4 linked regions of the Saccharomyces cerevisiae S288C genome follow. The protein of the gene in region 4 interacts with the protein of the main gene of each other region in a biochemical or structural test. Each region holds a gene or a part of one and is shown on either strand. Other genes may lie near its edges. The genes, in order: CIA2, RAD3, MET18 and CIA1.

Region 1 (2,767 bases), on a different chromosome or scaffold from region 4:
TCCCATTTTATACCTTAGCTTGTTTTTCTTATTCTACACTTCTAATTCCTACTACGATGCCATTGTATTCTTAGCCACAACGTAATTTCTCGACAAATATACGTATGCTCAGTCCAGCCCTTTCGCACAATTCCTCGCGTAAATATGGAAGCTTGTGAAATTTTATGAAAAGTGAGACCAATCGTAAGAATAACACTGAACGAACGCCAGGAGGCTACTATAGGTCGAGAGTTCGTTAATGTACATAAAGGTTTGATATGCGATACTCTTTGATGAAGAAGACAAAGAAAGTTATACCTGTGTTCTGTATTTTGCCATTTGAACAAAATAAACAAGATACAGGAACCAAACCATTGTAAAAACCGTTATTTAATCGATTGGAGAAAATACTATATAATAAAATGTAGCTATAGCTGTGTTATACAGTGAGAGCACATTGTTAAATTTACATGTTTTTTGATAGCTTCGTGAGTAAGGGAAGCAAAAAGAAGAATCCCCGTTTACTTACAAGTCACTAACATCTTAGAGACTACACCCAACAGTTGTTCATTCTCACATGCAGCTGCTACACGTTCCTTATCATTTAGTTGTTTATTTACCTGGTTCTCACTATCATGAGTACCTTTCTTCAACAAAATAGTAATTCTAAATCTTGGGGGAAGAGACCTTTCTAACCTGACCCGTATCCCCAGACCAATCAACGTTGCCAGAGAACAATGGGTAATTGTTGGTGTTATTTTGATCACGACTTCAGCCATTTCGTTCTGGTTTCCTGAATCATGAACATCAATATCTTCCAAATTTACAACAGAGAGTTGTCCCAGACTTAACGGGTGCTCAGGGTCGGAAATATGAGCTATCAAATCATATATTTCTTGAGCATCAATGAGATCAGGCTCTTCCTCCTCCTTTCCTCCACCCGCTACGGATTCATCCTCGCTTTCTGCTGGCAAACTATCCTCATCGGAAGTCAGTTCTGGTGGAATTCGAATGGAAAGAAGCTTGTCTAAGACCTCTATATCTTGCAATACCTGAGACTTTAAAGAATGGTCTATTTTCAGCAAAAGGCTTCTCCTTTCCAGCGTAGCTTCGTTGCTGAACCCGCCTAACAAAAGGTCCTTGGTACTATCTTCTTTTCTAGTGGGAAGTTGGTTCTCCTCTAAAATGTCGGGATTTTCATTCAAAAACTCAGACATGTGTACTATAAGTGATAACAGGAAATCGTAGAATAATGCAGTAGCAAGATTTTATATTCGACTGGATCTTGAAATACTCGATTTTTTTGCTTGTTAGTCATCACTTATTCGCATTTAAATCTAATTCAATTATTCAAACACCGTACACCCAAGCATTGCGACTGAGAAGAGAGTGGTGGAATATTATAGTTTGATAAATAGAAAAATCTGTAGACTCAAATGGATCTCTTTATAAACAATAGTTGACATTATAGAAGTACGGATAAAATATATAACGTATATTATCGTTTCCGTCATTAATTAATCTATCCACCTTTCCTACCATCGTCTTGTTCTAGCTGCTCCCAGCTTCTTTCCACTATTCTTTGAATTAATGTAATGGATTGGTTACTTCCCTCATGTAGCACTTTGATATCTTCGACCTTGTATGGAGGTTGCACCTTAACGTCATCAAGAATAATGATGTCTTTAGCCACCCACTTAGTATCTCCTATGGTCTTGAAGATTTGATCGAAAATGAACTGACCCTCTGCACTCACACCCTTGCCCCTTAAGAGTTCTTTCTTTTTAGATGCTATTACACTTTCTTTCAAAAGCTTCTCAACTCTTTCCACGTTGACATATGAGGGTTTGATTTGTTGCTTTTTGAATGAGTTAAACGAGGGCTTATCACCAATGACTTCCAAATGCTTGATGAATGTACATTTTATCACCTTGAAGTTTTGTGGAGATTGATTCTTCTTTGTTGTTTGGATAGTAAGAGTGTTGTTGGATGAATTGAACGAATACAATCTTCCTTCAGTAACTACATCCAACACGTTCGTAACTTTTATTCTGAATCCGAGCGTTTGCTCAAGGCTGACACTCATGGACGAAAGATGCAAATTGATTTCTTTAGTTACAAGCTTAGATAACCGCTATTTACAAGCCTGGCTCAGAGTGTTTCCTTACCGTAATAAATATCCACCATTATATTCATGGTATAAGGTTTGATCGTTTTGTTTCCGCTAATATCATTCGCGCGACAAACTACGGAAATTTGCAAACTACCGTTTTTGCCATTTTCTAAGTATCTTCACAGTCGCTTTTGAAAAAAAAGACAGGGAAATTGATTCCACATCTTATTATATTACATGTCAAATTATATACAATTAATAGTTGTATTCAAAAGTTATCCCAATATTTCGCGGGCTTCTTTTAACGCTTCCATTGGAAATCCGGCCAATTCCGCAACTCTAATGGCATCTGATTTCGTGCAGATGCCCGGCTTCAACTTATGGTTGTAACAAAAATTGTTTCCACCTAAATCAGTGATTCCGCTTTGGTAAAACTTGACCTTTTCGCTCATTCCTTTCGAACATTTGTTATCAATGATTTGCTTCAGTTCTTGACCAAAATGTGTAGCAAAAAGCGTTCTGCATTGATTGTTCTCTAACAAATACTTTAAAGTTGCATAAGCGATGCTAATGCCTTCTTTACCACTAGTCCCACGGCCAATCTCATCTAGAATAGCTAAAGACCGTTCCGTAGCTCCTTGCAAGATGAACGATGTTTCTATCATCTCAACCATG
Region 2 (4,539 bases), on a different chromosome or scaffold from region 4:
GGAAAAATGTAAAGAAATTAACGTCGAGACGGTCTATGATATAATGGCCCTTGAGGATGAAGAGAGGGATGAAATTTTAACGCTTACTGATTCACAGCTTGCGCAGGTCGCCGCGTTTGTTAACAATTACCCCAACGTTGAACTTACTTATTCGTTGAATAATTCTGATTCGTTAATTTCAGGTGTAAAACAGAAAATTACCATTCAATTGACAAGAGATGTTGAACCTGAGAACTTACAAGTAACATCTGAAAAGTATCCGTTTGATAAGCTAGAAAGTTGGTGGTTGGTTTTAGGTGAAGTATCTAAAAAAGAGCTTTATGCGATCAAGAAAGTTACTTTAAATAAAGAGACTCAGCAATATGAATTGGAATTTGACACTCCGACATCTGGTAAACATAACTTAACAATTTGGTGTGTCTGTGATTCATATCTTGACGCAGATAAAGAGTTGTCCTTTGAAATAAATGTGAAATAAAATCATTGTTTAGTCCTGGATAATCGAATGGATTTCAATATATAACATTCTCTTGCGGCTATTTAATCTAATTGTGATATATACAGTTTATAGCAAAAGCGTATCATTGCATCACTGCATTTCTATATCTTCATCTTCATCTTCATCCTGTTCTCCTTCTTTGTTTTCGTTTTCAATAAATCCACCTTGATCTTTTCTGCTATTCTGGTGCTTTATTAAATCTTCATAACTCCAAACAGATACACCCTCTTGGTCTTTAGGGTCTGTGGGTTGTGCCATTGTTCTCAAGAATTGTTTGGTATTGGATATGGCCATGTCAGTCGAAAGGTTCAAATCGGCGTCAGACAAACCTTGAGCAATCCATTTTGGTAACTGGCTTCTTTTTCTTGAAAACCTACGGTCTGCTAGTACCATTACACCATAGTCGTCCTTCCCTCTCAGTACTCTCCCCAGACATTGAGCTGCATGTCTCATCGCATCGAAAGATAAGAAGTCGTTTTCTCTGATGCGATAGTTCTCCCTCATGAATTCTAGGCGAGCTTTCAAAATACGCGATTCTGTGTATTGAAACGGGATACCTATCATCAGCACAGTTCTGCCATATTGATGATCAAAATCGATACCTTCAGATACCTTTCCTCTAGCAACAGAAAGCAAAATTGCCCCACGCCCATTTGAGCAAGCCTTTCTATAGGTTTCTAAGGCTAAAGAAGTTTCTTGAGCATCAGGAGTCTCAACTAAAATTAATTTATGTTTCCAAACTTCGTCAAGAATACCCATTGTTTGCCACATTGAAACAATACTTTCCATATATAGATATGAGGGGAAAAAAACAACCATTCCATCAGGTGTGATCTTGGCAAACTCTACTAGCATAGAACCGTAATTACGAACAATACTAGGATCGTTTCTGATTTCAAATCTTGAAGAAATTGCAACTTGATCAGAACCCTTGGTAATAATCATTGGTAGAAATGATTTTTTGGCTAAGGTCATGGCATATGATTTTTGTAAAACAGTTTTAAAGTTTAACATTCTTGGATACATGTCTAATGGTGATATGGTCCCTGAAGTGATAATAACGGAAGAAAATCTCTCAAAGACTGGTTTGATGGCAATCGATGCATCTAAGCAAGTAAATCTCATAATCGGATTCGGAACTGCAGCATTTTCGATTTCATACGGTTCAATAATTAGTAAAAACCCTTCCTCATATGTTGATATAAGAGTAGCAAAAGTTGCTATGTCTTTCAATGCAGTAAAATCTTCTACCTCTGTAACTTCTAAAGTTCTTACAAGTAATGATAGCCTTTCTGAGCAAAACCGAAGAGGTTTCCTTTCTATGAAAGTTAACTGTTTTAAATGCTGTAGAAATGATTTTGGCGTTTCTGAAATAACGTGAAGAACTTTCATTCTGGTCTTCAGATATTCTATCAATCTTTTCAAAAATGAAACAAAATGCTCGGCTCTTCGTATATTTCCCGGGATTGCTTCTGTTAGAAGATCTTGGGGCAATACAGGTGTTTCCACAAATGGCTCTTCCTGGTCGGTAAGAATATCTGCAGAATGGAGACCTTGAACTAGTTTTTCGTATTCATCCTGTAATTTCTGTGAGTCAACCTTTCTGACCTCAGAAATACGTTCATCTAACGCATTAGCACCTCGTGTGGCTCTTCTCAATGCATCCGTTGTCAAGTCTAATGACAGCGATTCGATACACACATTATCAATATTGTGCGCTTCATCAAAAATGACAATGCTATCTTTAGAAACCTCGTTGGAAACTCTTTCAGCAATTTTAGGATCTAATAGATAATGGTAAGAATAAATAATAATGTTACAAAGAGAAATCATACGACGAACAATAAAATATGGACAAAGTGTTTTTTCTTCGCAGTATTTCAAAAGTTTTTCAAAAGAAAATACGCCTTTTGGAAGATAATCCTCTACTTCAATATTGTACAAATTCTCATGGTATTCACACAATTCTACATTTGCCTCTGGATCCTCTTCTAATTTTCTCTTCGCCTGCCCATTTGTCATTCTACGGCACTTTTCATCGACTACTGTACCTTTTCGTTCCTTACTCACTTCGGGATGCAAACACAAATTTTTTCTTGATGTCAAGCCAAGACCTCGAAAATCCTCTTGATAGCCTAGTTCTTTAGTTCTGTAATCCATAAGGTTCTCTAACTCTACTAAAGCTTTTTCAATTTCAGACATAGTACGAGAACAATATATGATCTTTCTATGTTCTGGGTAGTGCATCTGGTAGGCAATTGTGAGGGATAGTAATGAGACCGTTTTACCTGTTCCTGAAGGCATCTCCAAGATACTATTTCCACCTACATCCAGAGTCTTTTTAATATCGCACATATAATTATACTGCTCTGGATATATCTTGGGGTATGGAAAAAGCACTGGTAAATCATCTATATAAAACTTCATTGTTTCCAATCTTCTTAAAGTGTAGTCAAATCGGGCCGATTATCACCTTCAACCCAAGATGAAATATAGTATTTCTATGAATGGCTAACAGTACTTTGTCAACTTTAAGATATACATATATATATATTTATTTATTATTTACAGACCAGAGATTTCTTTTCAAAAGCTATGTAGCATAAAGTACGCTACTTTAATTTTTCATAAATTTCATATACATCGCTTAAATGCCGTCGGCCATGATTAATATAGGATTAACTCATATCATAAAGGCTATTCAGAATATTCAAAGTGAACTGTAATCATTTGGTTGACGAGATGCTGACTTCCAACTAGAGTCACGGTTTTTCAAAGTCTCGGGGAAGGTTAACATATACTTGCAGTTAGTGTAGCGTTAAATCACCCTATTAGCCGAATTTGCTGGTTATAAGGTTCAATAATTTCGGAAGATAATATCTGATGTTTCCCCAGAGACGGTACCAAAAATCCCACTTTTTTTGTAATAATCTTTTAAAGGCTCATTTGTTTTCTTGTACTCTTCTAGCCTTTTTTTAAACACTTCCGCTGTGTCATCAAGCCTCTTGGTCAATGGTTCTCCGGTGATATCGTCTAATCCTGGCACTTTGGGAGGATTATATTGTAAGTTATACACTCTCCCACTAGGAACGTGAACATATCTGTTCTCGATCCTTTCTAATATGGTGGATTCGGGTACATCTAGCTCTACCACTAGATTCAAGCTGGCGTCATGCTGTTTCAGCAGCTCGTCTAAGGCAGAAGCTTGCGCAGTAGTTCGAGGAAATCCATCGAGCAACCACATGGCAGATGGTTTTAACCAACCCAATGCCGAAAGACGAAAAGTTATCAGACGCGTTATGAGATCATCCGGTAATAACTTGCCTTGAGCAATGTAGGTAGTAGCCTCTCGGCCTAGGGTAGATTCAGATTTTATTTCCTGACGTAAAATGTCGCCTGACGAAATTGAAGATAATTGTGGAATTTGCTTTAGTAATCTCGAAGTCTGTGTCCCTTTACCTGACCCTGGAGCCCCCAATAATAAAAGTCGAAGAGGTTTGAGTAGATGTGTTATTTGTTTCGCGTCTGCTTTCATTGATGCTTGCTAACCCTGTTCCTGAAAATTTAAAGATTTACAAACAAATATATATACGTATATTATCCTTTTCTACACATGTGTATCTATATAATGATGGTTATTGTAATGGTATTTATTAGTGAATGTGGGTTTTCGCGAATTCCCGGCCGACCGAGCACATTTTAAGAGCCTTCAAAATGAGAGATCTCGGTAAACAACTGGCAATCGTGAGTCAGTTTAAAGGTGTACTCTGTTGATTAATGGCCGCTTTCCCGTCCTGCGGTTGCACTGTAGGGTTCATTATTGGAGCATCTACTGTTGTTTCGTTTGAAATACACGGTATTTTCTTATTCAAGTGCTGCAGAACGTGATCTCTCCTTTTAAATCTTTTGCCACATTTGGGACAAGAATGAGGTTTCTCACCAGAGTGGACGGATTTTTTGTGTCTTGTAAGATGGTGACCAGAAGAGAACTTTCTTTGGCATTCCTTACAAATATAAATCTTGTTCTTACCTGATAACAC
Region 3 (5,455 bases), on a different chromosome or scaffold from region 4:
CGATCACTAACTGACAAAAATTTCTTTTCAGACATAGAGCCCAGTAGTTCGGCAAAAGAATTCCAATTCGAAGACTTAATTAAACTAGTTGATATAGAAAGTGGATCAGTAGTTTTTAACTGAGTAAAAACAATCTCTTCTAGCTTATCAGATAAATCTTCTTCTTCATTGCTGGAAGCCTGCTTAACAATTTCATTTAGCACCCTGCATAGGATGTATATACTAATCAGAGATTTCCTATCTGCAAGGAATGCTTCTTCTTTTGCTACTTCAATTGTGTTCTCTAAACTTTTCAATTGTGAGTTCGCTATGGATGGACTTGAAGTAGCGCTATTGTTACTGCTACTAGCTTTGATTAACGGAACTTTGTTGTTGAAAGATGAGGAAACGTGCCTTTTCATGCCAGGAAGATTATTGGTATTGTTATTATGTTTGTACTTTGAGGTTGTATTACTGGAAGATCTTGATAGCCGCCTATTCATTAAAAAATGAGCCTGCGAGGGATGTGCCTTTTCAAACTCATACTCTTTTAATAGTTTTTCCATTTCTTCTGAAGCAGAGTTGGCCGCTTCAGATTTAGTCTTCCTCCAAAACATCATTGCATCAATCACAGGTTTCGGTTTTTTCTTTGCAATGTGACCTAGAGATTTAATAATTTCATCAAAGCTGGGATCAACGCCTTCACCAAGAATTTCTACAATTGGGGGTTCCGCCATGTCCAACTGCTGTAGACACATATTTAGTTTGTTCTCCGCGTAACGAATAAACTTTGTAAAAAGTATATGAAGAGCATATTCAGAGGGACTTTTCCAATCTGTAGCCATTTGCTGTCTCAAAGTAGTCACGTAGTCCTCTGCTACTGATTTTGCTGTAATGTCCGGCGGTGCTGATTCTTGCATTCTTTGCTGCTTTTGTTCAGGTAGTAGCATTGAAATCTTGTTTTGATCACTTTGCTCCTCAACAAAGGTAGGCGGAAGAGCTTGACCTTCCCCCGTTCCTTGTTGCTGTTGTTGCCGTAAAAGTAATTGATTATTTAGAGAGGTGCCTTCAGACATATCAGTAGGAGATGGAATATCAATAATAGGTGCATCCGTAACGGATTGGTGAAGAGGAAATGTGTTAAGTGGCGCTTCGTTTATTTCCTCCAAGACATCCTGGCCTGAAGGATCAATATCTATTGATATCTGGTTATTGTTGCTAGAACCTTCTGCTTTATTTGTCGGTGGGAAGGTGAAACCAATGCCTTGATCCCTCTGGGGCGGGAAAGTAAATCTCGAGGCCATTTTGATGTATAACAAAACTAAAAAGGGTTATTAAAATGGGAACACAACAAACAACCAGAATTTTCACACTTTAACCAGTCACGTCCTATTATGAAGACCTAAATCCACATTTGCTTTCTCTCTTCATTTGCCTAATCCTTTATCCCAATTTCTACAGTTCTATATGTATTTTCCTGTGTGGCTGTCGTTTCGTGGTTAGTGATACAACCATAACGATTCAACCAACTCCCAATGTATGTGATGTTGATACCGCTAATTTGGAAGGGATGGTATACTCTAGGTGACCTCAATGAGTCAAAGAGAGCTAGGACATACTTCGAGATAGGTAATACCACTTTGCAGCTTCTTTTTAGGCCTTCATGAGTGAGTAGCCAAGAAAAAGTTAAAAGCGGGTAATAGGTATGAATTTTTCAAATACTGAAATTTGGTTTAGTTATTTAAGTGAATTGTAGATTATGTACATTTTACGTGCAATGAAGGAGTCACCTCTATGATCATCTAGTTATTAGCTGTTAGTTTTCATTGAACTTGTTTTAACTGGGAAAAAGCGGAACAATTGGGCCTTACAATGACACCAGACGAACTAAATTCAGCAGTCGTCACCTTTATGGCCAATCTGAATATTGATGATTCGAAGGCCAACGAAACCGCTTCCACAGTAACGGATTCTATTGTACACCGATCAATAAAATTGCTGGAAGTTGTCGTTGCGTTGAAAGATTATTTTCTTTCAGAAAATGAGGTAGAAAGGAAGAAAGCGTTGACATGTTTAACCACTATCTTAGCAAAAACTCCCAAGGACCACCTCTCCAAAAACGAATGCTCAGTAATATTTCAGTTTTACCAGTCTAAGCTTGATGATCAAGCGCTTGCAAAAGAAGTCTTGGAGGGCTTCGCCGCATTAGCTCCAATGAAATATGTCTCCATTAACGAGATAGCCCAACTTTTGAGATTATTATTGGACAACTATCAACAAGGCCAGCATTTGGCATCAACTAGACTGTGGCCATTTAAAATTTTGAGAAAAATATTTGATAGATTTTTCGTCAATGGATCCTCGACCGAACAAGTCAAACGAATCAACGATTTGTTTATTGAAACATTTCTTCATGTTGCCAATGGTGAAAAAGACCCTAGAAATTTACTCTTGTCATTTGCACTTAATAAATCTATCACATCGTCCTTGCAAAACGTGGAGAATTTTAAAGAAGACTTATTTGATGTCTTATTTTGCTATTTCCCAATCACTTTCAAGCCACCAAAGCATGATCCTTACAAGATCTCCAACCAAGATTTAAAAACAGCTTTGCGATCAGCAATTACTGCGACGCCATTATTTGCCGAAGATGCTTATAGCAATTTGCTGGACAAACTCACTGCTTCTTCACCGGTAGTGAAAAATGATACACTTCTGACGCTATTAGAATGCGTTAGAAAATTCGGCGGCTCTTCTATATTGGAAAATTGGACGTTACTTTGGAACGCTTTGAAATTTGAAATTATGCAAAACAGCGAAGGAAATGAAAACACTCTACTAAATCCGTACAATAAAGACCAACAGAGTGATGATGTGGGCCAATATACTAACTACGATGCTTGCTTGAAAATTATTAATCTAATGGCATTGCAACTATACAATTTTGACAAAGTATCATTTGAAAAGTTCTTCACTCATGTATTAGATGAGTTGAAACCAAATTTTAAATATGAAAAGGATTTGAAGCAAACCTGCCAGATTTTGTCCGCTATAGGTAGTGGGAATGTCGAGATATTTAACAAGGTCATTTCGTCAACTTTCCCCTTATTTTTGATCAATACATCTGAAGTTGCCAAACTTAAGCTGCTGATTATGAATTTTTCTTTTTTTGTTGACTCGTACATTGATTTGTTTGGAAGAACATCTAAAGAATCGTTGGGAACACCGGTGCCAAATAATAAAATGGCTGAATACAAAGACGAGATCATAATGATTTTGAGCATGGCCTTGACAAGAAGCTCCAAGGCAGAGGTTACCATAAGGACTCTATCTGTGATTCAATTCACAAAAATGATTAAAATGAAGGGCTTTTTAACCCCAGAGGAAGTTTCACTAATTATTCAATACTTCACGGAAGAAATATTAACGGATAACAACAAAAACATTTACTATGCTTGTTTGGAAGGGTTAAAGACAATCAGTGAGATATATGAGGATTTAGTTTTTGAAATATCATTGAAGAAATTATTGGATTTGTTACCTGATTGCTTCGAGGAAAAAATTCGAGTAAATGATGAGGAAAATATTCACATTGAAACAATTTTGAAGATTATTCTTGATTTCACCACTTCGAGACATATTTTGGTCAAAGAAAGCATTACATTTTTAGCGACAAAATTGAATAGGGTAGCTAAAATTTCGAAATCCAGAGAATATTGCTTTCTACTTATTTCAACCATATATTCTCTTTTTAATAATAATAATCAAAATGAGAACGTGCTAAATGAAGAAGATGCTCTTGCACTCAAGAATGCCATTGAGCCAAAATTATTTGAGATAATTACTCAGGAATCGGCCATTGTAAGTGACAATTACAATTTGACACTTCTATCTAACGTTCTTTTCTTCACCAATTTGAAAATTCCACAGGCTGCACACCAAGAAGAACTAGACAGATATAACGAGCTTTTCATTTCTGAAGGTAAGATAAGAATCTTAGACACACCGAATGTATTGGCTATTTCATATGCTAAAATATTATCCGCACTAAATAAAAACTGCCAATTCCCCCAAAAATTTACAGTGCTTTTCGGAACGGTTCAACTACTCAAAAAACATGCTCCAAGAATGACGGAGACTGAAAAATTAGGATACCTGGAATTGCTGTTGGTCTTATCAAATAAATTCGTCTCTGAAAAAGATGTGATAGGATTATTCGATTGGAAAGACTTATCAGTAATTAATCTTGAAGTGATGGTTTGGTTGACTAAAGGGCTGATAATGCAAAACTCATTAGAGTCATCAGAAATTGCAAAAAAGTTTATTGATTTACTGTCTAATGAAGAGATTGGCTCACTTGTATCGAAGCTATTCGAAGTTTTTGTCATGGATATCAGTTCTTTGAAGAAATTTAAAGGTATCAGTTGGAATAATAACGTTAAAATCTTGTACAAACAAAAATTCTTCGGTGACATTTTTCAAACACTAGTCAGCAACTATAAAAATACCGTGGACATGACCATTAAATGCAATTATTTAACTGCATTATCCTTAGTGTTGAAGCATACTCCAAGCCAATCGGTTGGTCCTTTTATCAACGATTTATTCCCGCTTTTATTGCAGGCTTTGGATATGCCTGATCCTGAAGTAAGGGTATCCGCTTTAGAAACTCTGAAGGACACTACGGATAAACATCACACTTTAATTACTGAACACGTAAGCACAATAGTTCCATTATTACTATCTCTTTCGCTTCCGCACAAATATAATAGTGTCAGTGTCAGGTTAATAGCCTTACAGCTTCTAGAAATGATTACGACTGTAGTACCTCTAAACTATTGTTTGAGCTATCAGGACGATGTTCTAAGCGCTTTAATACCAGTTTTATCTGACAAAAAAAGAATAATAAGAAAGCAATGCGTTGACACAAGACAGGTTTATTATGAATTAGGCCAAATCCCGTTCGAGTAAACGCTTGTATTTAATAATTTGTTCACATTGATGAGCACGTGAAAATCTTAGCGAGTATACTAAGTAAATATGATTCTTTTATGTATAGTACAGCAAAATAGCATTTATTTTTATTACGTTTAATCTTCTTCACTAGAGTCTTCCTCGTCGCTTAGTCCTACAGGTGCCAAACCCGGTGTCAGACCAGGATATCTATGATCTTTAACAAAATCGCTCTCTTTGATATCTTCCTTGAATTGTTTTCTTTTGAACCTTCTTCTTTTACTCCTGTCTGTGTTCGCAGTGGAAACTGTATCCTTCAAGATGGATTGCTGAATGTCTTCAAGCTCATCTCGTACTTCCTCTTCTAAATCCCACGACCTCAAATTTTGAGAATTCCTTTTGATTAACTTATTCAAATACTTCCTCTCATGGTCCGTTAATGTGCCCTCATGTTGATGTTTTTTCAAAACCTGGTGTTTTGCCAGTTGTTCAAGTTGCTCTTTATCTAATTTATGTTTCTTAA
Region 4 (3,088 bases):
GACGGAAGTTACGTGTCGGAGTAACGTTTTCTTTCACTGATTCGCTCATCCTAATTCTTGAAAAGAAGTATAGCCACTATTTTTTCGACGAAAGAGACTGTATCAAAATGCACTTTATGGATCTTTTTCAGCTAGGTATGCGCTCGACGATTTGTTGAATATGGCTGAGTGGGCAGTCGTTCAGATGCCCTTTTCAAAATCTTAAGAGAAAATCAGAAAATATAGCTATTATTAAGAGTGACCGCGAGTATGAAACTTTCAGTGTAACCTTTCTTTATTCGAGATAATGCTTAATTACAAGTCTTCCGAATATCTAATTTTTTTTTTTTTCATTTTTAAATTTCAGTTTTTACCGCATGCTTTTAATGCAGGGATATGTATAACGAGGTCACTCCGTCACACATGACAGAATTGCGTTATAGTGATACAAAGGTTTATGTAACTAGGTAGAAAAATCGTCATTAAGTTTATTTTTAGAATTCAGATCGATCACTGTGTTAATATGAGTTCCTGAATTGTACTCTTGCTTCTACATCTACGCTGCTTTTTCTAGAGACCAGAAATTTACGATCCCGTCGTCACCGCCTGTTGCAAGTATAGTTTTACCATTTAACTCCAACCACTTCACAACGTTGATTTCATAAACTCCATGACATAATGCACGTTTAGCAAAAACTTTCCATTCTCCGTCTACTTCTTCATAGACCGCTAGTACTCCATCCGCTCCTACACTAGCAATGAGGCCATTAAAGCCCCATGCAACATTGTATACCTGTCTTTTGTGTACATCCGGGAGAATAGCTTCACAAACCCATTCTTGTTGATCATCCTCGTCGTCACCCATGTATTTCCATACCCGTACAGTGGAATCGTCGCTTCCACTGCACAGTCTAAACACGCCCTCAGTCTTGTCAAAATCAGAAGACCAAACAGTTCCTTCATGGCCATTTAAGACAGCAACACATTCCCAGTCATCGTCATAGTCTTTCCATATCCTGACGGTGTCATCATAAGAACTTGAAGCCAGTAATGCTTCAGATGGATGCCATATAACATGTTTAACGTCTTGTGAATGTTCTTGCAAAACACTAATACACTCATATTCCTCGCCACTTTCATCTGTTTCCCATATCCACACGCTTTTATCTCTGGAACAGGTTGCTAGGTAATATCCATCATTCGACCACGCTACACCTTTTACTTCATTTTCGTGACCTTCGATAATAGCTAGCAGGTCCATCTCGAAAGTTCTGTCAGCAGATTCTTCCTTAGCCCAGATAGATACAGTGGAATCAAAAGAGCCAGCCGCTAACAGCGAAGTGTGAGGTCTCCACGCCACAGATCGAATCGCCTTTTTATGAGCAGTCTCATCTAGCACATCAATTAACGTAAAATCGTCATATTTCACGCTAACTAGCTTAATTTTTCGATCAGTTGAACCTGTTGCTAATATACCTTGAGAAAAGTCAAAAGACCATATCTTTTCCTTGTAAAGTTTCAAAGACTTAATCAGATTGATAGACGCCATTACCAAATAAGTAAACCAATTGAACTATTAAAATGTCGTGGTATAGCCCGATTTTGATTTGTGATATCTACAAATCTAGTATTTATTCGCAATTAATGAGGCAAAGACGATACAATATTCGATGTGAGATTTTTCAAAACACGGCCCGCTGAGAGCAGAAAGTTTTAGATGACCTATTTGAAGGCAATCACGATGGTATTTTTCAAGAAAATAAATAGTAGTAACACTGCTATGCACATCAGAGTCAGATTCCTTAAATTCAAACGTTTCTACAATTAGTATGACCTTTTCTTGAAGATCTTTTTCTCCTTATAAAGGCAACACAAAACAAGATAGAAGTGCAAAGGTATTTTTTGTTTTTCACGTGATAAAATCGGCTTCGAGAAAGTAGAAAAGGGTATTATGATTTATTACAGGCTACCTGCACCATCTCAAAGGTTTTACGTTACTAAGGAGTGAATCAGGTTTTGATAAATATTTACACTATCTTTTACAAGGAAGATGTCGAATAAGCAGGCGGTTCTGAAGTTAATCAGTAAAAGGTGGATAAGCACAGTGCAACGTGCCGATTTTAAGCTGAATTCCGAAGCGCTTCATAGTAATGCTACGGTATTTAGTATGATTCAGCCAACTGGGTGTTTCCACCTTGGTAATTATCTAGGTGCTACACGTGTTTGGACAGACTTATGTGAATTAAAACAACCTGGCCAGGAATTGATATTTGGAGTTGCTGATTTACACGCTATCACTGTTCCAAAGCCAGATGGAGAAATGTTTAGAAAATTTCGCCATGAGGCAGTAGCAAGTATACTGGCTGTCGGTGTAGATCCAGAAAAGGCTTCGGTGATCTACCAATCCGCCATCCCTCAACACAGTGAATTACACTGGTTGCTTTCTACTCTTGCCTCGATGGGATTACTTAACCGCATGACGCAATGGAAATCAAAATCGAATATCAAACAATCAACTAATGGGGATTATCTGGTTAACGATTCTGACGTGGGAAAAGTTAGACTGGGCTTATTTTCGTATCCTGTTTTACAGGCAGCGGATATTCTACTTTATAAATCTACACACGTTCCTGTTGGCGATGATCAATCGCAGCATTTGGAACTAACAAGACACCTTGCTGAAAAGTTTAACAAAATGTACAAGAAAAATTTTTTTCCTAAACCTGTAACTATGTTGGCACAAACGAAAAAAGTTTTGAGCTTAAGCACGCCTGAAAAGAAAATGTCCAAGAGTGATCCGAATCACGACTCTGTAATTTTTTTGAATGATGAGCCTAAGGCAATTCAGAAAAAGATTAGAAAAGCTTTAACAGATTCCATTTCTGATAGGTTCTACTACGACCCTGTAGAAAGACCAGGCGTATCGAATTTAATTAACATTGTCAGTGGCATTCAAAGAAAATCGATTGAAGATGTCGTAGAAGATGTATCTCGTTTCAATAACTATAGGGATTTCAAAGATTATGTTTCAGAAGTGATAATTGAGGAATTGAAAGGCCCAAGAACAGAATTTGAGAAATATATCAACGAACCGACCTATTTGCATAGT

Evidence for each region.
Region 1: the proteins of CIA1 (region 4) and CIA2 form a complex in vitro, tested with the Saccharomyces cerevisiae proteins (2 studies listed by BioGRID).
Region 2: the proteins of CIA1 (region 4) and RAD3 form a complex in vitro, tested with the Saccharomyces cerevisiae proteins (one study listed by BioGRID).
Region 3: the proteins of CIA1 (region 4) and MET18 form a complex in vitro, tested with the Saccharomyces cerevisiae proteins (one study listed by BioGRID).

Annotation. Positions count from the first base shown.
Region 1 is NC_001140.6:352,054-354,820, reverse strand, and holds CIA2 (iron-sulfur cluster assembly protein CIA2), read right to left. Parts: upstream 1,197-2,767; coding exon 501-1,196; downstream 1-500. Other genes in the region: EPT1 (bifunctional diacylglycerol cholinephosphotransferase/ethanolaminephosphotransferase), read right to left, coding at 1-6; LSM12 (Lsm12p), read right to left, coding at 1,502-2,065; mismatch repair ATPase MSH1, read right to left, coding at 2,368-2,767. UniProt on the Saccharomyces cerevisiae protein: May play a role in chromosome segregation through establishment of sister chromatid cohesion.
Region 2 is NC_001137.3:525,469-530,007, reverse strand, and holds RAD3 (TFIIH/NER complex ATP-dependent 5'-3' DNA helicase subunit RAD3), read right to left. Parts: upstream 2,927-4,539; coding exon 590-2,926; downstream 1-589. Other genes in the region: ATP-dependent RNA helicase BRR2, read left to right, coding at 1-478; adenylate kinase ADK2, read right to left, coding at 3,357-4,034; RPH1 (Rph1p), read right to left, coding at 4,249-4,539. UniProt on the Saccharomyces cerevisiae protein: ATP-dependent 5'-3' DNA helicase.
Region 3 is NC_001141.2:111,955-117,409, forward strand, and holds MET18 (Met18p), read left to right. Parts: upstream 1-1,851; coding exon 1,852-4,950; downstream 4,951-5,455. Other genes in the region: TAO3 (Tao3p), read right to left, coding at 1-1,283; RRT14 (Rrt14p), read right to left, coding at 5,070-5,455. UniProt on the Saccharomyces cerevisiae protein: Key component of the cytosolic iron-sulfur protein assembly (CIA) machinery that mediates the incorporation of iron-sulfur cluster into apoproteins specifically involved in DNA metabolism and genomic integrity.
Region 4 is NC_001136.10:1,001,975-1,005,062, forward strand, and holds CIA1 (iron-sulfur cluster assembly protein CIA1), read right to left. Parts: upstream 1,529-3,088; coding exon 536-1,528; downstream 1-535. Other genes in the region: E3 ubiquitin-protein ligase HEL2, read right to left, coding at 1-49; tryptophan--tRNA ligase MSW1, read left to right, coding at 2,030-3,088. UniProt on the Saccharomyces cerevisiae protein: Essential component of the cytosolic iron-sulfur (Fe/S) protein assembly machinery. Required for the maturation of extramitochondrial Fe/S proteins.